Elephas maximus indicus: one gene and its partners. Each later gene encodes a partner of the first gene's protein in a complex. Links are inferred from orthologs where the notes say so. Each region holds a gene or a part of one and is shown in the gene's direction. Other genes may lie near its edges. The genes, in order: PARD3, CDH5 and PRKCZ.

The links.
Region 2: the proteins of PARD3 (region 1) and CDH5 are in contact, whole or in part, in an NMR structure (PDB 2KOH), measured with the Mus musculus proteins. The link is inferred for Elephas maximus indicus from reciprocal best matches to the Homo sapiens genes PARD3 and CDH5. Residues at the interface, in NP_296369.2 of Mus musculus: Ala599, Gly600, Leu601, Gly602, Val603, Ser604, Val605, Lys606, Gly607, Arg609, Lys611, Lys622, Ile625, Asn655, Gln656, Met659, Arg663, Met666; in NP_033998.2 of Mus musculus: Tyr774, Gly775, Asp777, Gln779, Glu780, Glu781, Leu782, Ile783, Ile784.
Region 3: PARD3 (region 1) and PRKCZ share a complex: the UniProt entries of both Homo sapiens proteins name them as parts of the par polarity complex. The link is inferred for Elephas maximus indicus from reciprocal best matches to the Homo sapiens genes PARD3 and PRKCZ.

The regions. Positions count from the first base shown.
Region 1 is NC_064822.1:8,726,443-8,733,407, reverse strand, and holds the start of PARD3 (partitioning defective 3 homolog), read left to right. Parts: upstream 1-3,935; 5' UTR 3,936-4,019; coding exon 4,020-4,139; intron 4,140-6,965. UniProt on the Homo sapiens protein: Adapter protein involved in asymmetrical cell division and cell polarization processes. Seems to play a central role in the formation of epithelial tight junctions. Targets the phosphatase PTEN to cell junctions.
Region 2 is NC_064839.1:32,890,986-32,898,950, forward strand, and holds the start of CDH5 (cadherin-5), read left to right. Parts: upstream 1-4,939; 5' UTR 4,940-5,051; intron 5,052-7,965. UniProt on the Homo sapiens protein: Cadherins are calcium-dependent cell adhesion proteins. They preferentially interact with themselves in a homophilic manner in connecting cells; cadherins may thus contribute to the sorting of heterogeneous cell types.
Region 3 is NC_064821.1:40,597,623-40,605,381, forward strand, and holds the start of PRKCZ (protein kinase C zeta type), read left to right. Parts: upstream 1-4,662; 5' UTR 4,663-4,930; coding exon 4,931-5,001; intron 5,002-7,144; exon of another isoform or gene 7,145-7,502; intron 7,503-7,759. UniProt on the Homo sapiens protein: Calcium- and diacylglycerol-independent serine/threonine-protein kinase that functions in phosphatidylinositol 3-kinase (PI3K) pathway and mitogen-activated protein (MAP) kinase cascade, and is involved in NF-kappa-B activation, mitogenic signaling, cell proliferation, cell polarity, inflammatory response and maintenance of long-term potentiation (LTP).

The DNA.
Region 1 (6,965 bases):
CTTGTAAAGGTTACAACCAAAAAAACCCTATGGAGCAGCTCTGCTGTGTAACACATAGGGTTGCCATGGGTTGGGGGCGACTCCATGACGGCTAACGGCAATGACTTTTAGCCAGAGCTTCCCATGTGGAGGTCTTCAGTAAATGTGTGTGGGACTGAATTAAAGTGAATTGAGTACAGCCTGAGTCGAGTCTTGCTTCCTCAGTTCTGGTCCAGGCCTGGTCACTGACTAGTTGTATTACCAGTCCACATATTTCTCTGAGCCTCGGGCTCCTCCTTGCTTTTGTCCTTTCCCTGATACCATCACCGTAATCATCATCACATGCTATTCTGTGCTGGTCTTTGCCACTCTTTGTCTACATTGTGGTAACTATATTGTGGCAGCAAGTATTAAGTATTTTATTTAATCCCCATGATTTATGAGATAGATATTCTCTGCTCCATTCTCCAGCCGATAAAACTTGAGGCTGGAGAGAGGCTGAGTGCCATGCCTAAGGTACTACTGAATGATTGAATCAGGATCGGAGCATGGATCTGAGCAATGTCTGAAGTACTCTGTTCCTGAACTAGGCTTTCAATTAGAATTATTTTCAGGAAGCCCAACTCTAAATTAGTATAATCTGCCCCCACCTCTCCAGCCCCCCCCCATGTATTTTAACAGAAACAACACCTATAATTATCAATAACCATTGTTCTGGGTCCAAGTATTAATATAAGAAACAAAAAGACCTCAGCAAGGGTTAAGTCATCATCGTTGTTGTTGTTAGGTGCTGTCGAGTTGGTTCTGACTCATAGCGACCCTATGCACAACAGAAGGAAACACTGCCCGGTCCTGCCCCATCCTTACAATCGTTGTTATGCTTGAGCTCATTGTTGCAGCCACTGTGTCAATCCACCTCCTTGAGGGTCTTCCTCTTTTCCGCTGGTGCTGTACTCTGCCAAGCATGGTGTCCTTCTCCAGGGACTGATGCCTTCTGACAACATGTCCAAAGTATGTAAGATGCGGTCTCGCCGTCCTTGCTTCTAAGGAGCATTCTGGTTGTACTTCTTCCAAGACAGATTTGTTCGTTCTTTTGGCAGTCCATGATATATTCCATATTCTTTGCCAACACCACAATTAAAAGGTGTCAATTCTTCTTTGGTCTTCCTTATTCATTGTCCAGCTTTCACATGCATATGATGCGATTGGAAATACCATGGCTTGCGTCAGGCGCACCTTAGTCTTCAAGGTGACATCTTTGCCCTTCATCACTTTAAAGAGGTCCTTTGCAGCAGATTTGCCCAATGCAATGCGTCTTTTGATTTCTTGACTGCTGCTTCCATGGCTGTTGATTATGGATCCAAGTAAAATGAAATCCTTGACAACTTCAATCTTTTCTCTGTTTATCATGATGTTGCTCATTGGTCCAGTTGTGAGGATTTTTGTTTTCTTTATGTTGAAGTGTAATCCATACTGAAGGCTGTGGTTTTGATCTTCATTATAAGTGCTTCAAGTCCTCTTCACTTTCAGCAAGCAAGGTTGTGTCATCTGCGTAACGCAGGTTGTTAATGAGTCTTCCTCCAATCTTGATGCCCTGTTCTTCTTCATATAGTCCAGCTTCTTGTATTATTTGTTCAGCATACAGATTGAATAGGTATGGTGAAAGAATACAACCCTGACACACACCTTTCCTGACTTTAAACCAATCAGTATCCCCTTGTTCTGTCCCAACAACTGCCCCTTGGTCTATGTAAAGGTTCCTCATGAGCACAATTAAGTGTCCTGGAATTCCCATCATAGCTGTCACAAACTATTGTGTAGAAATGTTGAATGTTGTAGCCAAACAGGAGTGTTATGAGCCTTACCTATGACTGTGGAAGGAATCCAGGACTCTATTTCTGGGTCTGCCTGGAGCTTTCTCTGTGACCTTGGGCAAGCAACTTCACCACTTTGTCAATACCTTGGGGTAAGATGGTGATGAGGACACACAATGCCTACTTATTGCAACTTCACTACTTTGTCAATACCTTGGGGTAAGATGGTGATGAGGACACACAACGCCTACTTATTACATTGTTTTGCATTGTTTTGCTAAGAAAGGTAAGAGCGTTGGTCAAGGGCTGCGAGATGGCAGTGTACTGTTTTTATCTAACAAATTGTACTATAGGTGGTGGGCGCAGTGTGGGATAGTGGAGAATGCAGGGATTTTGTCATGTTCCCTTTTTTAAAATGGTTGGTGGAGTTTCATGTATTGGTTGATAACCAGCAATTTCTGCTCCAAATGCTGAAATTCTCCACTCGAGCTCATGGGAGCTGTTACTACTTTTACATGTCCTAGCAACAACTGGCAGAAATGAATTTACTATCATTTGGGACAGACTAGCGTCAACAAAGAATCTTTGCTGACATTAAACATAGTAACAGAGTTACTAAGAAATCATAGCTCATAACTAAGACAGCGATGGGCTTCAGTTAGTTACTCTTCTTGACTTGGTTCACGTTCTTTTAAATTGTTCATCTCCTGCATGTAACTAATTACGTTGTTGCCTTCTCTGCCAGGGGTTTAAGTCCCTGCGTTAAGCGCTAGCGCATCGTTGGGATCCTTTTGCAGTTTTTCCCCAAGGCAGTCTGAGTATATTGTTCATAGATTTCCGTGAGGATTGTTTATGTTGCAGAAATTTTAAACAAATAAAACTATCTGAATTGCTGATGTATACAATTCTAGGTATTTAAGCGAGTGGATCGTCAGGGGATCGCAGGAAACTTCAAGGTAAATTGCGGCCTCAGGAGACAGACCCGGCCCAGTCAGAGCTTCACCAATCTCCCCGCCCCCCCCAGCAGATGGATTAATTTTTGCTTTTAATGCATAACAATCCCTGCCTGGCCTCGCAGCGCAGCGACCCAGAGCAGAAGCCCCGTCAGGCTGTGGGCCGGGGACAGGCGTTCGGGGTGCCAGGATCCATCTGCGGGAGGAGAAATCTCAGCTGGAATATCCCGGCAGAGCCCCGTTCCAATCTCCTGGGGACATGGTTACTGCTCTTCTCAAAACGATCTCCGTGCTTTGAGCCTGATGCGCCGAGTGTAAACTGCTTTTCATAGAAACCATTGCACCCGAAACGCCCCCGGCTGAGGAGGGGGATTAAAAGTGACAAAGAAAGGGGGAGGGGGTTTTGGAGAGACCTCTGGGGGCTAGGAACTGGCGATCCCCAAGCAGGGGCCGGAAGGTCCGAGTGCAGTACCGAAGTGTCCTCGGGTGCGTGAAGGGGGCTAGGAAGGGAGGGACCCGGCGCCGGGGCTGGGGGTTCGGTGGGTGAGACGGGGCTGCTGCCCGGCTGCCAGCTCGCAGCCGCCCGGCGCCTCGGCCTCCTACCTCCTGCCGCGCCGCTGAGGGAACGGGATAGAAAAGCAAAACCCCAGCCTGCAACGGTGGGGTGTGGGGTGGAGGGTCCAGCCGCCCCCCTGCAGTCCGGCCACCGCCCACGCCCCTCCGGGAGGGCGGGGACGAGGTGAGCGCTGGGCCGTGGCAATGCGCTCCGCCTCCATGGCGCGGAGTCCGCGGCCCGCGCCGCGCCTCCCCCCCTTGCCGCATGCGAGCAGTGTTTTGTGCCTCGGCGCTGCTCCTCCTCCTCCTCCCCTGCGCGCTCCCCTCCCCCAGCGGCCGCGACTGAGAGCCAGCGCCGGAGAGCCTGAGCCGCCGCCGCCGCGGAGCGCGCCAGAGACGCCGAACAGGTGGCCGGAGGCTGCGGGCGCCGAGGCGAGGGCGGAGGGCGGAGGGCGGCTCGCGGAGAGCAGCGAGAGCCCCCGGCCGCGCGGGCCTCCGGGCGCCGAGCATGCGAGCCGAGCGCCCCCCTGGCCGCGCCGCCGCCCCGCGCCCCTAGCCACAGCCGGCTGCGCCCGGGCGCCTGTGGTGCCGTCCTCGGCCCGCCGCCGAGCGGGGGCTCCGCCGCGCGTCCCCCGGGGGGTCCAGCCGCCCCGGCCGGGTGGCCGTTCCAGCCGAGGGCTCAGCGAGGGAGCGCGCGTGGGACCGCGGCGGCGGCAGCATGAAAGTGACGGTGTGTTTCGGGAGGACCCGGGTGGTCGTGCCGTGCGGAGACGGCAACATGAAAGTTTTCAACCTCATCCAGCAAGCGGTGACCCGCTACAGGAAGGCCATCGCCAAGGTGAGGGGCCGGGGCTGGGCGCGCGGGGCCGCTGGAGGGGTGGGTGGGGGGTCGGCGGAGCCGGGAGGGGAGGGGAGGGAGTGCCGGAGGAGGAGGAGGAGGAGGAGGAGGAGGGAAGGCGCTCGGGATCAATATGGCGCTTCCTGGAAAGGGGGAGGAGGGAACACCGAGGGGGAGAGGCGGGGAAAGGGAAAGTGCGGCGGGCCGGCTCGGCCTGGGCCGGGCGCCTGGCCCGGGGTCCCGGCGCTCTCCCTGTCCCGGAGTTGCCGGGCGGGTTGGAAAGTTTTCAGCTCCGGGTGGGACGGCCGGAGCGAATGGGGCAGACTGGCAGCCGAGGGAACTGCATCATGGCTGCGCCGGGGACCCGCCCCATGGGCCGGGGGCGACGAGAGCGCGGGCACCGTGGCCGGACCCTGCGCTTCTCCCGCCCGCACCCGGGGCCAAGCGCGGCCCCCCGCCGCCCCTCTGGGCTCCCGGCTCGCGGCTGCAGCGGCCGGTCGCGCCGCGGGGTCGCTGGGCAGAGGCGGGCAGTGCCGCGCGGGCCGGCGCCAATTACAGGCTGCCTCCTGGGGCCCCTGTAAGAAGGAGCAAAAGCCCCAAATCAAACGCACCGAGGGCACCGGGGCCAACCTGGCGGGACGCCTCTCTCCCAGGCCGGTGGCTGCGGCCAGTTGAAATCCAGCCCCAGGCCTTTCCCCGATTCAGGCCCTGCGGGCAAAGGCTGGGGAAAATAGAACTTTTTTTTGGTGTGAGAAGAGTTTATTTATTCCATATACAACGGAGAGGGATTGCGTTGCTTCTCTCCACTCCTTTTCTCCGGTGTTGGAGATGAGAAGTGGGGGAAAGAGGGCCAAGGTGAAGAGCCTTTTTCTCCCTACCGACTGCGGGTAGGGGTGGCCCGGCGCGTTTTGGGTCGTGCTGGGTGGGAGGAGAGTCTCTGGCTTGGGGTCGGGAAGGCGGTCCCAAAGGGGGACACCCTTTCCCAATCGCTCGCGAGCGTTTGCCGAGCAGAGACTCTTCGCAATGAAGAGGCTCGGGTGCAGGGCTCCTTAAAGAAGAACCACCCTTGAATCATTCACTGAGTTAAAAGTTTTCCTGCTGGGAACTCAGCTTTTATGTTTCTGGAACTAGTTCCATGTGGTGCCGGCACTGCTGAGCCAGGGCCTGATTTCGGAGTCGAGTAGATTTCCCTTTTTCTTCGTGGAGTGATAACATTGTTTCCACGTAACTACATTCCTCTACAATGTGTCAGAAGTGAAAAGGCATTTCGTTAAATTGTTTCATCGGCTGTGTCTGTGTCTGACAACGGCCCACGCTCAAGTTTCTCTCAAGCACCTGAGGATACTTCCTTTGGAAATTGTATGGTAACGTTTGGTGGGAAGCATCTCGGCTTTTGTTTTCCCCATTTGTTCCTGATAGCGGAGTGCTCTGGCTCCTGTGGGTTTTGGATTAGCAGATAAGGGAGAAGGTGGCTTTGCCAATCTGAATGTGTAGAGGGTGGATTCAGAGCTCAGTGTGGCATCTTCCAATTCTAAAATTAATTTGGAAGAAAAAAACTTTCTCATTATTTTAAAGTACGCATTGAGAAAAAATCTAATGCAATAGCATACATTTGGTGTTTTAAAGATAATTTGGGGGAGAGTTTAGGAACCTGACATGTTGACTTTATTTAATAGCTCTAAAATCTTCCTTGTAGTTGGTTGAACCCTTTTATGGAAAGTCAAATAAAATTAGTGGAAATTGGGCATCTGTTTATCTTGCAAAGCTGATGGGGGGGGAGGGAACGGCTTTCTAAATCTATTTAGCATCTTGAAGGATTGTATATGAATGCAGTTTATGATCTCTGTATTCTAAATCAGTAATGGTTGCCCATGTACTTTGAAAACCAACAACATAAGTTGTGAAAGGAAAAAGGAATACGATAATGTGTACCGTGTACCGTGCAGTGTGCTTAGGTTCCTGAGAAGGGAGCAGGTGGTAAGCATTTCTTTTCAACTTTACTCATTTTGCATCGTTAAAACTAGTCTTATTTCATGATGCACACAGTGCACACTGATTGAATGGCCTGCTTGGGAAATACAAATGCATCTCCCAAACAAGTCAATAAACAACAAAAATCTGGTTGAGTTACTCATTCATTGCACACAAATTTTAAGGCATTTAATATGTCCAAGACACTATTCTGGGTGCTGGCCATTCAGGGGCTCCCACTGCCTGCTTTGTAGAAAATGGATTGCAAGTGTCTAGGACAAAAGGCTCTGAGGTCCTCCAGGTGAAGCAGGTAGTGGTGTGGAGCAGCGTGGATAGAAGAGAATGTGTCTGATGTGTTAGGAAGTGCAGTTCAGAGGCCTTGGTGATAGACCTGTTACAGCTGCTAAGCAAAAGGTTGGCAGGGCGAGCCCACCAGCCGCTGGAGGAGAAAGATATGGCAGTCTGCTTGCAGAAAGTTTTACAGCCTTGGAAACCCTATGGGGCAGTTCTCCTCCGTCCTATAGGGTCGCTGTGAGTTGGAATCGATAACAGTGGGTTTGAGTTTTTTGGTTGGTGATAGATCTGAACCTTGTTCTTGAATATTAGTGATCAATGCTTCACAGTGACCTGGCCGGGCAGAAGCAGTGCAGTTTTCTTAAGGGAGCCTGCCTGGCAAGTCTTCACCAAAGAGAAAAGGCATGTTGCTGAGTTCTGAAGGGTAAGGTGGAAGGAAGGGTGACGACAGCACTGGGGTTGGATATGGATGAGATGGAGAAGTCAACAATGATTCAGGGGTTCCCAGAGTTATTTAAATGCTCTTCAAGTGCGATGCATAGTTCGGTAGTTCGGTTTTAA
Region 2 (7,965 bases), on another chromosome or scaffold:
CTTCCAATTCTCCCCTTTTATATTGTTGCCTTTGGCCTCGGCTGGGCTTAATGGCATAGGTACAGGCCAGAGGAGGAGGCAGGCTTCAGAGTCTCCAAAGTTCTTGGAGATCCATTTCTCATGTGGCCCTCTCAGACAGGGTGTGGACAGTCACCACCATTTCACAGATAAGAAAGCCAAGGCAAGAAACACTGATTAGCAGGCAGTAGCAGAGCTTGTGATCACTGCCCTCACCTCTGTGCCCTCTGGCCTAGAGAAGCAGCTTGTCAGGACTGTGTGTAAAGGAAGAGTTAACGGGATCTGACATGGCCCTACGAGAAGGGAGCTTTAGCACAGGGACTGGGGAGGGTTTATTTTGTTGGGTCAGAACCTCTTGCTTTCCTCTTGATTCTCAGCAGCAGGCTGGGCAGGTGAGCCTGGAGAACTCTCAAGGCCTCCACAAGCCTGAGTGATGGGTTCCCGCCAATATGCCTTGGTTTCTCCCTGGGCAGGATCCTTCCAATGACCAGCTCAGATTCCCCCTCCCCTAGCTGGACTTTGTGCATAAAACCTACCTCAGGACAAGGGGGCAGTGTGTGCTGAGGGGCCTGGAAAAAGCTTGTCTTTGAGACAGAGAAGACAAGGAGCTATGGCTCCGGGACCCAGGCAGGCAGGGGTAGACGTCCTGGGCTCACCTGGTTCTGGTCCTGCTACTGCGCCGCCAAGCTCACAGCTAGTGCTGGAGCTGGTGTGTTTGCCCCATCAAGAGACAGGACAGGGTGGCCCCTGACCCACCTTCCTGCCCCGCAGATGGCCAAGGCTCCCACCCATTGTTCCCTGGGACACTTTGACAGGATGCAAGGAATGTGGGGACTGGAGACAGGAAGTCCTGGCTTCCGCAGGGCCAGGCTCCTACCAGACTCAGGCCTGCCCTCCAGACAGGGAGTTGGGGAACTTGGTCCCATCCTGCCCTGCTGGGCTTGCTGGGCAGCCCCAAGCCAGGCTTTGCCCCCTCTGCATCCCTGAGGGAGTGCTGGTCACTGAGTGAAATGGGACAGAGATCCCAGACAAAGGAGGAGAAAGGTGCTGCCCCGGGGCCTGGCCCTCCCTTGGCCCTGGTTGCACTCCCCAGGCCCCTCCTATACTCGGGAATACCACACACACACAGTCACATCATGGGTTGCCTTACATACTCCGTGTATGTCCTTACACACACACGTAGCCACACAGCTGCCCCACAAGCACACGCCATGCCCATGCTCACACCCTTGCCTGTGCCCCACTGTCAACATCTCTGTGGCATCATTGTCATGACTAACATGTATTGGGCACTTACTGTGTACTGGAGTCAGTTCTATATACTTTAGGTTCATCTTCTCAATCACTCCTTCCAGCATTCCCATGAGGAAGGCATTGCAATCACTCCCATTTTACAGAAGGAGAAACTAAGGCACCACGGGCCATGTGGCATGTCCAGGCTCAGCCGGGCTGTAATTGGCAGAGGCCGGATGTGCCCCAGCACATAACCCTCATATCTCCCCCACCCCCAGACCTCCCCAGCCCCCCACTACTCAGTACTCAGCACCATTGCCCCAGCAGCCTTCCCAGGATGTTGCAAAAGGAAAGTGAGAAACATCTGGGAAAGTGCTCAGCCGCCTCTCTCTCTCCCTCCCAGGGCCCCCACATAAGGCATTGTTCTCACTGTCGGCAATTCAGTCTCTGCTCAACCTTGGTCCTTCCTGGCCAAGGAGAGGCTGCCCTTAACTCCTCAGCCCACCACCTCCCTGACCACATCCTCGGTCACGGTGGCCTATGGTTCCCCATCCTGACCACAGCCCACCCAATAATGCTGTGACCGTCATTTTCTTCGTTGCCTTGATGATACTCCAGACAGCCCTGCACAGTATGAACTGATAACCCATTTCACGGCTGAGAAAAGAGGCTCAGAGAGGTTAAGTCAGCTCCCCCAGGACGCACAGCCAGTGATGGACCATGGTGGGACTTGAACCTGGGTCTGCCAATCCCCAAGCCTGTCCCTCTCCAAGCAGGGCATCACAGGGCCCCCTCCCCGATCAGCTTTTGTCCTGGCACAGACTGGGTGGGCACCTGTCCTTGCACACACACACGTACACACACACACACACAGCCCACATTGTTGCTTCCTTCTCCGGTTGCTAATCGGGTCTCGCAGACCATCCCGTTTCCTGCCTGCTGCTGGCTGCCTCCTTTGCTCCTGATGGCACTTCCTGATCACATGCCCTCCTGTTACCGCCTTGGCCTCGAGAGGGGTTGGGCCAGGGGCTGGACAGTGCCAGAAATTGGGCCTGGGATCTTCGGTGGGCCTTGAGGGGTACTAGCTTCCCCTCTTGTGGCCTGGACCCCCACCCCCAGGGCCTGAAGGCATGAACCTGCCTGGCCCTGTCCTAGTTTACAGCCAACAGGAATGAAGGGCAAGTTTTCAGGGCAGAGTCACTTCCCCACGGACTGGGAGTACAAAGGGAATTGACAGATGGTGCCAGACAGGGACTGTCTCCCTCTGCCACCAGCACTGAGTCTGAGACCCAGCAGGAAGTGATGCTCAGGCTGGGCAGGTCCCTGGGGCACGTAGTCAATGAGGACAGATACTCAGCACAGTCGGGGTGAGGGGAGCTGGCTGGGCACCTAGGACCTTGGGTAAAGAAGAACAGGGCACTGGCCTGTTCTGGTTCCCCTGCAGCCACCCAGGCTCCAGGCAGGAAATTACCTATTACCGTTATCCATTGCCATAGAGTCGATTCCGACTCATAGCGACCCTATAGGACAGAGGAGAACTGCCCCATAGAGCTTCCAAGGAGCACCTGGTGGATTCGAACTGCTTACCTTTTGGTTAGCAGCCAGAGCACTTAACCACTAAGCCACCAGTGTTTGCCCAGGCAGGAAAAGGCAGGGTTAATCCTGTGGAGGAGGAAACGCTGAGCTGTTGTTTGTTTATTCTGCCAACGATGATGGAATGAATGATGGAATGTGCTGGATCCACTCGAGTCCCACCTCGAGGACTGTTCTCCTTCCAGCAGGTCTCCCTTTTCTCTCCAGCATCATCTGTCTTCCCATGGCTGGATGTGCTCTGAACACACAAACATGCTGCCTTGGCCATCAGCTTAAAGACAAAAAAACCCTCCCATTTCTCCGCTCCCGTTCACTACAAGGCTTGGGAAGGAGCTGTCACCTCTACTGCCACACGCCCCTCACGAATTCCCTCCCCAGGCTCCCTTACTTGCTCCTCTCCATTCAGCTGCTCTGGTCAAAGTCATGGATGGCCTCTTCCAAAGCCACTGGTCAAGGCTTGGCCCTCCCTGGGCCCAAGCAGACCACATTCTCTCTTCTTGCTTGGCCCCTATGGCCCTGCCCTCTCCTGCTTTCCCCCCTTCCTCGCTGGACCCTCCTCTTCTAACAGATCTGCTGTCTGAGGCCTGGGGGCCTCTCTCCCTGTCAGCTTGTCCACTCCCGTGGCCCCAGGAGCCAGCTGTTAGTTCATGGCTTCCAGAAGTCATGTCCAGGCTGTGCCATGGCCAACTCGATGTTTCCACTTGGGTTCTAATTGGCATCTCAACCCTAGCCTGCCCAAACAGAGAAATCCTTATCCTCCACCAAATAAATATATATATATATATATTCTTCCACCCCATTCTCCACCTCCATACAGGTGTCCACGAACTTAGTGAGTGTCCTTGGGCAAGGCCCTCCCTTTCTGGGACCTCTGTTTGCCTAGCTGTATAATGGACTTCCCAACCATTCATCCATGGAAAAACAAGGGCAACTATGTAAAGGACAGACTCCCAGGCCCTGCCCTGGGGGATCCCAGATCTGCTGGTCTGGGGTGAGGCCCAGGTATCGATAGTTTTTGAAAGCTCCCCAGGTGACCCCCATGAGTGACAGAATCTGAACCTCCCTTCCCAGCTTCTTGACTGTCACAGGTTCTGGGCCCACCTTTTGCTCCACTATCTTCCAAGCACCTCACTGACTTTTCTTTACCTCAACAGCCTTGTGAGGTTAAGGCTATGATTATCCCCATTTTACAGATGAGGAAACTGAGGCTCAAGGAAGGACACGACTGGTTAACCATCACAACAAAAACAGAGGCAGGACACCTGGATCCCTGCCCGATATTTTGATACCCAACCAAATCCCACAATTCAGACTGGCTCCTTAGAGCTGGAACCCCCTCACGCCCACACCCACTAGGGAGAAGCTCATCTGGTCCCCTTAAGCCAAGAATGGCTGTTTCCCCTCTCCCCACCCAACCCACCCCCAGGGTCCCTCCGTCCTCCCCATCACCTATAAATCTGCTCCCCAAGCACCCCAGTATATCACAGGGTCACGGGGGGCCAGGTGGACTGAGGCTTGATTTCTGGCTTTGCTACAGCCCTGCTAATTGAATGTTGTTGTGGCTGTTTTTAGGTGCCATTGAGTCGATTCCAACCCATAGTGACCCCGTGTGACAAGTAGAACTTCCCCATAGGGTTTTCTTGGCTGTCATCTGCGGAAGCAGATCACCAGGTCTTTCCCCCATGGAGCCACTGGTGTGTTCAAACCCCAATCTTTCAGTTAGCAGCAGAGTGCTTAACCGTTGCACCACCAGGGCTGCTTTGCTAGGTGAATAAGTGCCTTAAACTTGTTGGGCATCAGTTTCCTGGGTTGTAAAATGTGGGTAATAACATTTTCATTCAGGGTTACAATGGGTGGTGTAGGTCCAGGGGCCCCCACGGACTAGGCCCTTGAGATATTGAGCTCAGGGGCCCAGGGATGAGGTCTGGAGTCAGGGTTCGAGTTCAGCCAGGTCCAGAGTTAGGCCTCCATGTGGACAGCCTATCTGGGCGAGGTGGCCGCCCACCTCGGGACCTGCCTATCTGCAATCGGCCCGGCCCTCACAAAGGAACAATAACAGGAAAACCTGAAGGGGCGGCAGCCAGGCCTCCCTTGCTGGCTGGGTGTGGCTCCCCCTGCCCCAGAGTCAGACAGCCGAGCTGCACAGAGCTCCACACCACATTCAGCCCTGGACAGAGAGCGTGACGGAACAGAAGCCCACAGGCACGGTGAGTGAGGGTCCCCACACCCCATTGTACCTCAGACCCACCGCCATATGCCCAAGAAGGGAGGGTCGTCAGCTTCCCCATCTCTAGAATGGCCGTGTCAGGCTCCCAAGGGAGAACTGCTCCTGTGGTGTAGAATGGGCCTCCCCCTGCTCAGCGTAGTTGGGGAAAGTACACTCAGAGGTGCTGTCGCAGGGCAGAAACAGGGGTTCTCAGGCTGGGTGAGAAGGTGAGAGCTCGACTGTCCCACAAATGGACTCTCCAGCTCAGTGTAACCCCAGGGCCCACCGAGCCTCAGAGGCCCACTGGTTTCCGTCTGTGCCAGTCTCAGAGAGGGCAAGATTCTTTCCAAATCACCCAGCACACCAAGGGCAGAGGATTGGCACCCACGCCTTGGCTCCCCCTCAGTGCCCCTTACCCCATGGGAGCAGATTCATCGAGGCCTGACATCACCCCAACCACAGCTGAGCTCTGTGTTGAAATTCAGGGAAGGAGGCCAGAAAGGAGCTCTGAGCCTTGTGCCCTCTCTGTCAGCCAAAGCCCCAGTTTCAGGATAGGCACACTGAGGCCTAACCTCAGCTCTGGGCACGTGGGGTGCTGTCTATGGGAATTCCCTATGCACTGTGGAGCTGTGGTCAGGAAAATGGCCTATCCTTTGTCCCCCAACACCCACACACCCACAGGCTGGACAGGAAGGACCCAGGGTCCTTACATCTGAGGGCAGCCCCCTGGGACAGCCTGGAGAACAGGCGGTCTGGGGCAGAGCTCAGCTTGGAGCCAGCCATCCTGGGTTCAGGCCCTGGCTCTACCGCTCACTCCCTATGTGAGCTTGGAAACTTACTCACCAGTGGCAACCTCAGTTTGCTTGTCTGAACAATGGGGATAGCAAATATTTTTGCAATTCATTGTGAGACCTGGAGTTCCGCGCATAGAAACTTCTTAGGCAATGGGGCTTCTTATTTTACCATTATCAACAGCACCACAAGGTAGGGATAGTCTTTCTCCATTTCTCTGTGGCAACAACTGAGATTTGGAGGAGTTCCGTAAGAGCTGGTGGGAGATCTGATGCAGCACCACATGGCTTCTTATCTCTGTCTTCTCATCTGTAAAATGGAGGAAAAGTCTTTTCATGAGCCCATTAAATGAGGTGAGTGGTGTCCACATCTGGCACTGGGAATGGCTCCAAGTAGGGAGATCCTTCAGGAATTGTGGCTGATTTCCCTGCAACCCCAGGGCTGACCGTGACTGTGAATGTCACGAACATTTGAGCGCCTGAGCACAGTTCGAGGCCACTAGACTGAACCCAGGCCCCATCATGGATGGTTCAGGAGCCCCCCAAGTAAGAGGGAGTGGGTGGAAGTGAGGGGGCACCAAGTCAGTTATTGCTTTGGGGAGCACTTGTCGGCACCTGCAAACTTCTGGGCACTGTGCTTGACCCCAGTGGAGGTGAGAGGGCAGGACCTCTGCCCTGTGTGGTGGCAGATAGGATTCTAACGGGACACAAAGGGCATCCTGGGGATGCAAGGCAGAGGACCTAGACAGGCTGGTGCAGCCGGAGGGCTTTATACAGGGAGCGGCAGAAGGGGCAGGAGGGCCGGTGATATGAGTACCAGCACAGTAGCTTTGGTTCACCCGTAGGCAGCGGGGAGCCCTGTTTCCCCTATCTGGCCTGTGTCCAGCCTGCCTGTGGGCCCCAGTCTGCAGGGCAGCAGATGACCCTCCGAGAGTCCAAGAGCTGCTGAACCCCCAGGCAGCCCCACCTATTCTGGCTTACTGGGGGGGAGGGTCTACTGGCCTTGAAGGGGTTAAGCCACCCGTCTGAAGCAATTGTGCAGCTGAACAAGGGCCGGACATGAAAGCAGGAAGCCAGAGGGGGCCACACTGATTTTCTCCCAAGTCGAATGACTCACAGCTCTGTTGCTGCCTTGGGGACACACAGTGGGCACAATAGCCACCAGCCCAGGAAAAATCTCAGGCCCTTCACCTAACATGGACCCATCCCTGCTACACCCATCACCTCTCTGCAGCCCCTCAGCAGTTCTGCAGCTGCTACAGATACTCCCATTTGACAGGTGGGACAACCGAGGCCAAGAGCAGCTGAGCAGCCAGTCTGAGGTCACATGGCTATTATGAGGTGGAAGCAGGATATGAGTGAGACCCAGCCCCTTCTGACCCCACAGCCCATGCCACACTCCATAGTGAAGTTCAGAGAGGGGAAGACCAAGAGGAATGACCCTGACAGTTTGAGTGACAGACTCGGCACAAGGACAAGCCAATGGCCTGATACTCCTAGGGAAGTAATGTTCTAGCAGACAGGCCCTGCACTCGGAAGCTTGGCTTCTGGCTGGGGAGATAGTGAAAACCTGCCTTGAACCAGGGCCAAGCTGGGGTTGGGTAGAGAAATCACAGAAGGCTTGCTGGAGGAAGAGCAGGAACCCTAGGTGCTGTGAGCCCCTCTGCTTTCTGAGTCTTAGTCTTCCAATCTCTCTAGGGCAATTGTCCTTAAGGTCACTCAGAAACCCCTAGACTGTCTGCCTCGGGCCTTGGTGGGAATGGTCAGGTCCTGGCAGGTGCAGATACTAGAAGGAGAGGGAAGTGGGCCTACAGAAGGGTCGGGGGAGGGCCAGGCAGGCGGTGAATGAGATTTCCTTCTGGAGAGGAATAGAGGGAAGGAGGAGGTGGGCCCAGGGCAGAATCAGGAAATGGGGCTGGGTGTAAGTCCACCAGTGGAGCCCACAGCTCCCAGGCTGCAGGGGATGGGGAGACGGAAGGTGGAGACGGCCACACACTTACTGAGGACCTACTGCATGCCTGGATTCCCACCCAGGATCTCCTTTAAATGTCCTGTCCACGGAGGCAGCTGTGGTTGCCTTCTTTACAGATGAGGCATCTGGGGCTCAGAGAGGGCAAGAGATGG
Region 3 (7,759 bases), on another chromosome or scaffold:
TGGAAACATTGTGAGAATTACCAAAATGTGACACAGAGACATGAAGTGAGCACATGCTGTTGGAAAAATGGTACTGATTGGCTTGCTCAACACAGGGTTGCCACAAACCTGGAATTTGTAAAAAATATAGTATCTGCGAAGCTCAATAAAGTAAAGTGCAACAAAACGAGGTACGCTTGTGCACAGATACACACACATGCACACACAGATGCTCCAGTACACACAGGTACACACATGTACACACATGCACACACAGATACTCCAGTACACACACGTACACACAGATACTCCAGTACACACAGGTACACACATGCACACACAGATACTCCAATACACACAGGTACACACATGTATACACAGATAGTCCAGTACACACAGGTACACACATGCACACAGAGATACTCCAGTACACACATGCACATGCACACATAGGTACTCCAACACACACAGGTACACACATCACACAGAGATGCTCCAACACACACACATACACACACAGACACTCACACACATACACACACATATCTGGCCTTGACGGCAATGGTGAAAGTCAGCCTGCTGGGTAGAGATGTTTGCTGAGTCGCCTGGGCCAGAACTGATGTATACCCTGGAGAAGCAGATGCAGCTCACTCAGCTGTGGGAGGGACAGGGGAGCAAATGATAAGCAGAGGGAGGCCTGGAGTGTGTCGGGGTTGGGGGCGGAGGGAACCAAAATAAACATTAGCCAAATGAATGAATGAGTGCAGTGAATGTTTGTTATACCAACTCAGTTTCTCCAAACTACATGGTCCGTGATAAAGAAGGGAAACATCTGCTCCCCCATCTCGTCCCACAGCTGCGTGTGCCAAGGCCTGTTGGCAAGTGTTCTATGCTCTTCCTGTGACCCTTGGGTCAGCCCACACCTGGAGGGATAACATGCCTGACCCCAGTGGCTCAGCAAGCCCTCTTCCTGGACAGTCTGCACCATGAGCTGGCCCAGTGTAGGTCCACCAGCCTCAGTGAGAAAGGTGGCTCTGGAAACCAGGCATTGGGGTCATGGAGAGGTCCCTGGTCCCCACAGGCCTGTCTGCTGAGTCACCTGGAGCATAAACACTGTGTGCATTCTCTCATCTAAAGAATCTCCAAGTCCTTTGAAAGGATCATCACCCGGCCCTTTACAAAAGAAAATCAGATGGTGACCAATACCACCTTCCACAGCCACACTCCCAGGGGCTGGCCAAGGCCCTGTGTCCTCTGCCGCCACCAGGGCTCTCCACTTCAGTGCAGCACCCTTCTGCAGGTGGACTTGGGGAACGCCGGGGCTGGAACCAGGCCTGGCTGGCCTCCTGAGGGGGCGGGGCCAAGGGGCTTCCCACCTCTCTGCTCTTCAGTGCTGTTGAGGTTTTATACCAAGCCTGTGTTACTTCCATAATCAGTTAAAAAAGTATTTTTTTTTTCTATTTGGAGCTAACAGGTGTTCCAAACCAAAACCAGACCCACTGCTGTCCAGTTGATTCCAACATAGCAACGCTATAGGACAGAGCAGAGCTGCCCCATAGAGTTTCCAAGGTGTGTCTGGTGGATTTGAACTGCCGACATTTCGGTTAGCAGCTGTAGCACTTAACCACTATGCCACTCGGGTTTCCAACAGGTGTTAGTGATTACAAAATATGACGTCTTTGTGGGAAACTTGGGAACTGCAGAAATGTCTGGAGGAGAAAATGACCCTCCCGGATCCTCCCCAGGGCTCTGCATTCGACCTGCCTGCGCCTCCTTTGGGGGTTCATCTCAACTTTCCATCCCAGGAGGCTGCGTCCTCTACACCCGTTTTTACTCCGCAGTCTTCGCCTCCCTGCAGATGTGATCTTCTCATCGCTGACTGCCTGCACCGCCCTGGGGGCAGAGAAGGGGCGGGGGCCGAGGAGTGGCAGGTTCCCCCTCCAGGACCTGGCCAGGCCTGGGCGCACAGGGGCTCGGTTTCGTGACACGGGTACACTGGGTGCGGTGAGGCGGGGTGCGAGGACTGTAACCTGTCTCCTCCCCATCGACCCTCTCGGGTAGGTCACCCCTCCTGAGGGTCACACTCAGGGTTCCCTTTGGGTGGAAATGGCTCTAGTCGGCTACCCTCTCCCTCCCCAGCCCTGGGGCCTGAGGTCCTAGGAGGCCTACCAGGTTCCAGCATTCAGGAGGACCCGTTTACCTACTCATTCATGCATCTGTTCATTCCACTGCTTGTCAGATGTCTGCGGAGATGGCAGGGGATCCAGAGGGGTCCCAGGCGAACAGAGCCCCACCCTCAGCTGACACCCGAGGAGAGTGGTTGGTGAACGTGGAAGCAGATACCCTGTGAGGCTTCGCCATGGCGCCGCTTGCAGGAACCCTGAAGCCCCTGGGCTGGACACCTACTGGTCTGTCCGTCTGCCTGGGGCCCTAATGGGTGTGGGCCAAAGGCTCGGCACTGGGGGGCCCGGGGAAACTCCCCAGGGCTCACCCTCCCTCCCTGGAGTGGGATGACAGGACGGTTTGGCCTGCTGAGGAAAGCAGATGTCAGATACCGCCCCCAGGAAGAAATGTCTAGGGATGGGCGGGCAAACGACCCCAGCAAACCCCCAGCCCCACCCCGCCGGAGCCTGTGGGACCACTGACTGGATCTAACCCCAGCTGGGGGCTGGACATGGCCAGAGGGCAGCAGAGGAAGAGGGCTAGCTAGGAGTGTGTGTGGAGGGGGGGAGGGGCTACAGTCAGCAAGCCCTGGAAGAGGGGAAGGTACCTCCCAGTGAGGCCTCCCACCTGGAATAGGCTCCTGACCCCCTCTCCCCTCCCCTAACCCCGCAGAGCACAGCCACTTCAGGGTCACTAACGGTCCGTCAACCTCCCACTGTGGCACCCAGCTGGGGGCTCCACGGATCTGAACCCTCCCCATGGTGCCCAGGTCAGGCAGCTTCTATCCTCCTCTAGCTTTGTCCCATGAGGATGGGGGCTGGCAGTGGCCCAGGAGCCACCTTCCAGGACAGAGTTCCCATCTGGAGGTCTCACCCCAGCTACGGCTTCCTATTGGTAAACGCCTTCTGGGAAAGGTATGGCCTTTGGGTTTGGGTGGGGCCTTGGGAGGGCGTGTCCAAGAACTAGAATGGAGGGGGCCTACCTGCCTGCAGTGGGAGGTGAGCCTCAGGCCAGGGCTTCTCCCTGACCTCTCTACCCTCCTTCCTTGCCTGGGCAAGCTTTGTTCCAGTGTCCCTGAGGCAGGAAGCCAGAGGCCTGCACGGAAGCTGGGCTTACTGACCCCTCCTGGCTGGGCACCCTTCACTGGTGCACTCAGCTGATTCCCCTCTCATGACGGCCTCTGCACCCTTTCACCCCCAACCTACAGGGATGGAGCTCAGTGCGCCCAGCTGAGAAGACCGGAGGAGGGGGGACATTAGGAAGAGACTCAAATTACCTGTGGGTTTTGGCCTTGTAGGGGTGCTCCTGGCAGAGGGAACTGCCACTGCAAAGGCCCTGAGGTGGGGCAGCAAGGAGGCTGGAGTGGAGTAAGTCACGATGAGGTGGGGGAGATGAGCGTCTGGATACTGTAGGGCATGGTAGGGAGGGGGCACATAAAGAGGTGGCTTTTCCTCCCAGTGTGATGGGAACCAGGTGGGGGGGGCTTGAATATGAGATGGACACAGCCTGATTTATGTTTTAAGAGGGTTCTGATGCTACCATGTGGAGAACTGACTGGGGTGGGGGGAGGGGTGGGGCATGGGACGAAGTCCGAGGCTCCTGCAATAATCCAGGCAAAGGTGCGGCTTGGACCAGGTGGTAGCAATGGAGGTGATGGGCAGTGTCTGGATTCTGGAAATATTTTGCAGATGGCGTGATGAGGGATGTAAGAGGCAAGAGTATCAGGTGTTTGACATAGTCTGGAGTTCAGGAGAGCGCTGAAACCTTGCAATGGTATTTGGGGTTTTTTTTAAGCCTACGGGGCAGTTCCACTGTGTCCTACTGGGTTGCTACGAATCGGAATCGACTGTAGGGCATATAACAAGAAGCCTATACGAGAAGCTGCAGGGCCCGAGAAGAGTCCGAGATCAGGCACCGTTCACGAGCTGAAGACCAGGAGGAGCGAGAGGAAGAGCAGCAGGAGCGGTGGGAAGGTAGGGTTTCTAGAAGGGACCTGTTGGAAAAAAAAAGCCTGAGAATTGACCACTGCGTTTAAAACATGTCACCGGCGCACCGCTCCCCGCTGCTCCTTAGACCGGCGGCAACACCCGGGGGGTCCTGAGGCTTGCTAACCCCGACTGCTGGAGTTTCGATTCCATAGGTCTGGACGGGGCTCGAGAACTTGCATTTCCAACAAGTTCCCGGAGGCGCCCGTTTCCCGGAGGAGCCTGGCGCCGAGGGGGCTCTCAGGCCCCTCCAGCCCGGCCCCCAGTCTCACGTTGCCGGGCAGAGCCGGGCCACGCGTGCTCCCATTGGCCGCAGGTGGGGCCGCGCCCCGCCCGACAGGTAGTCCGTCCTGCGCCGCGGCGATTGGGCCGCGGCCGCGGAATCCCCCGAGGATTGGCTCAGGTGGCCGCCCGCCGGCGCCCTCATTGGCCGCAGGTGCCACCGCCCCCGCCCCGGGACGACCGCGCCCCGCCGATTGGTCGCCGGCTCGGTCTCGGGTCGGCCATGTTCGGACCCCCGCCCCCGTGGGCCCCTGACGCCCGCACTTCGTGCGCGCTGCCGCTCGGCCGCGCGCCTCCGCCCGGCCGCGCCCCCATCCCCGCCCCGCGCCCAAGTTCCAGCAGAGTTGGCTGGGCCAGCGTCCGTCGGCGGCGCGTCCCTTCGTCCCGCGCCGCGCACTCCCTTCCGCGTTCCGCCGCTGGCCACACCTGGCACTGCTGCGCCCCCGGCCAGGTGCGCCCCCAGCCATGGCCCGAGCGCCCGCACCACCCGAGGCGCGGCCCTGACGGCCGTCGGGAGCGCCATGCCGAGCCGGACCGGCGCCAACATGGACGGGAGCGGCTGCCGTGTCCGCCTGAAGGCGCACTATAGCGGGTGAGTTCGCGCCCCGACGGCTGGAGGAGTCGGAGCGCGAGCGGGCGGCGGTCGGGGCGCGGAGACCGCCGGAGAAGCCCCTGCCGACCCCGGGCCGGGAGCTGCGGCCGCGATGCGGGAGGACAGCGAGGCCCTTCGGTCCCAGGTGCATCCCGGGAGGTCCCGACGGGCAGCGCCGAGAGGCGGCCCCGGGAGCTCTGGAACGTCACCCGCGGGAGCCTAGCGGACAGGGCGGGGTTGGCCTGGCTCCGGATGGCGGAGCCCGGCTAGAGAGCGCTGCTGGGCGAAGGCGGGTCCCTGGCCGCCCCGGGTCCGCGCCGTGCCGGCGCCGCGCTCCAGCACTTGGGCTTTACCGACTCGTACTGGCCGGAGGACCCCGCGGGGCGAGTGCAGGGGCGGGGGAAGCTGGCGTTGCTGGGAGTCTGGCAACCTGGCCACATTGCTGTTGACATTTCCAGTGGAAATTTGGCTATGGACATTAGCCTACAAACCTTTAAGGGCTAAAATTTTTATAGAATTGTGAACACTTCTGGAAGTTTAAAAAAGATCGCGATTTTCTAAACTTCTCCATAGTTTACGGGACAGCTCAGTTAAAAAAAAAAAAAAAGTGTAATACGGCCGGTGAAGACAGGTGCAGCGAGCGTGCAGATGAGTGCGAGAACCGAGGGACCCTGGCGGGCCGAGGCGCGGTCTGTTGGGGGCCTTTCCAGCAGACAAGACTTTCGCGTCTTCGTCCGCCTGGGACGGCCTGGACTCGACCTGGGTCTCTGAAATGGGACTAGTGGGCGCCTCACAGAGGTCGGTGACCGAGCGCGGGTCAAAGGGCTGCCCCTGGCGCTGGGCAGCCCCTGGCGGAGTGAAGAGGCATTGTGCCCAGATTGCCGGGCTCCGTGGCATGGCAAATGGATCCCACCGCCGCCTTCCGCGCGGCGGGGACACCGGGTGAGGGAGGAGTGGGCGCATTGGATCTGTCTCCAGGAGCCCGGAGCTCGAACCTGGGAGCTCCCGGAGGTGCTTCTCCATGTCGGGAGGGAAGTGGAGCCAAGCCGAGGGCCGGCCTTGCCCAAGTCGGTGAACCTGGTAGTCCGGCTTTAGCAGCTTCCCTTTGCTTCAGGGCGGTGGCAGCAGGTTCAGGCCATGGAGGCCTGGGAGCGAGGGGTGGCTTCTTCCCGAGGCCGGGCCCCGTCCTGGGTAGCCCTTTGGGGGTCCGTGATTCCCGCACCTGGAGAAGGGCCTGCCGACTCCTGACCTTGAGCGCAGCCTCTTCTGGTCTCTAGTCAGGTCCCGAGGGCGAGTTGGCCCCAGGTTTGCTGTCCAGACTCCGTGGTCTTCATCTCTTCTCTGAGGCCACTTGCTAACCCCCGTCTCTTCTGCTGGCCTCAGCCTGGGCACCTGAAAGTTTGTGGGAGGGGCGTTGGTGGCTACAGAGCAAGAAGGAAGTTTTCTTGGGGAGGGCCTGGCCCAGTAGCTCCCTGAGAGGTCAGAAGGTGCTGTCATCTGACCCCAGAGAGTGGGGGCTGATTAAAATGTCGAAGTTCTGGCCCTGGGACTTGTCCAGCGTCCTGGCTCTCCTGGTTCTTAAGCTCTCTGTTGAATGTCTCATCAGAGGTCCGAGAGGCTGCCCCTTCCCAGCGAGAAAACCAAACCCAGCATGGAGTAGATTCTGACTCATAATGACCCTATAGAAGGACACAGACAGAAGGATCCCGCAGATCTAGCAACAAGTAACATTTTTAAAAATTAGCGGGAGCAGAGGGTTGACCCAGCGCACCATGATGAGAACACATCCACTCCGGAGCTGCCCCTCCACCATGGGGCATGCAAGACCTTGAGTCTTTCGTCAGGACCAGTTCAGCTGGCACAGAGATGAGACACAGGCACCCAAGTAGTCCTGGGCAGAGTTGGAGGGCAGTGCCCCAGGGATTTCTCAGCTGAGTGCTGCAGCAGCTCCTGCCCACCCCATCCCAGCGCTTCAGGCCCCTGGGGAGCGCTTTGGTTTCTAAGCACCCTGTAATGAGACCTGCTGACTCCAGTTTCAAGGCTGAGAAGGCCACGCCCCCTTCCTCTTCCTTCACCCCGTCCCCTCCCCCTCCCCTCCCCAGCCCCTTCTAGTTCCTCTCTCCACTCTCAAGCCCCTTCCTTCTCTCCTCTTCCCTCTCCTCTTCCTCATCCCCCCTTCATCTCCCTAAGTCCTCTCCTCCCTTCTCCCCTCTCTCCCTTTTCCCATTCTTCCTCTCGACTATCCTCCAGGTTCCCCCTCTCCCTTCCCTGTCCCTTTCTACCCACTTTCTTCTCCCTTCTCCTTTCTGCCTGAGGCCTTCCCCAATCCCAGCCACTTCAGCCCTCCCAGCACCTGCTTCTCCTAAAGCTTCTGCCTTGGTGTCTCTTTCTGGGGACTGGAAACTCTGAGACCTGGGGCACTGGGGATGGGGAGACCCGGTACCAGAGCTCAGCTACTGCAGTGTTCTGGAAAGTGCCCACCAAGATGAGGTGGCCACCAGGTGAGAGGCTGCCACTGGGATGGAGGTGTCCTGGGGACACTGCTGTGGGGCTCCACAGTCAGGAGCTGAGGATGGTACACCTCAGAGACGCTGGTCTTAAAAAAGGGAGTGTTTTTCAGCCATCCGCATGGTGATGGCCCCCCTGGGTACCCTCCAGAAGCTTGACCCCCCCTCCCCAGTTCCTTCAGCAGGGGGGTCCAGCGGTACCTGAAAGCTCAGAGAGTTTCCAGGTGATTATAGGCGCTTGCTGAGTTTAG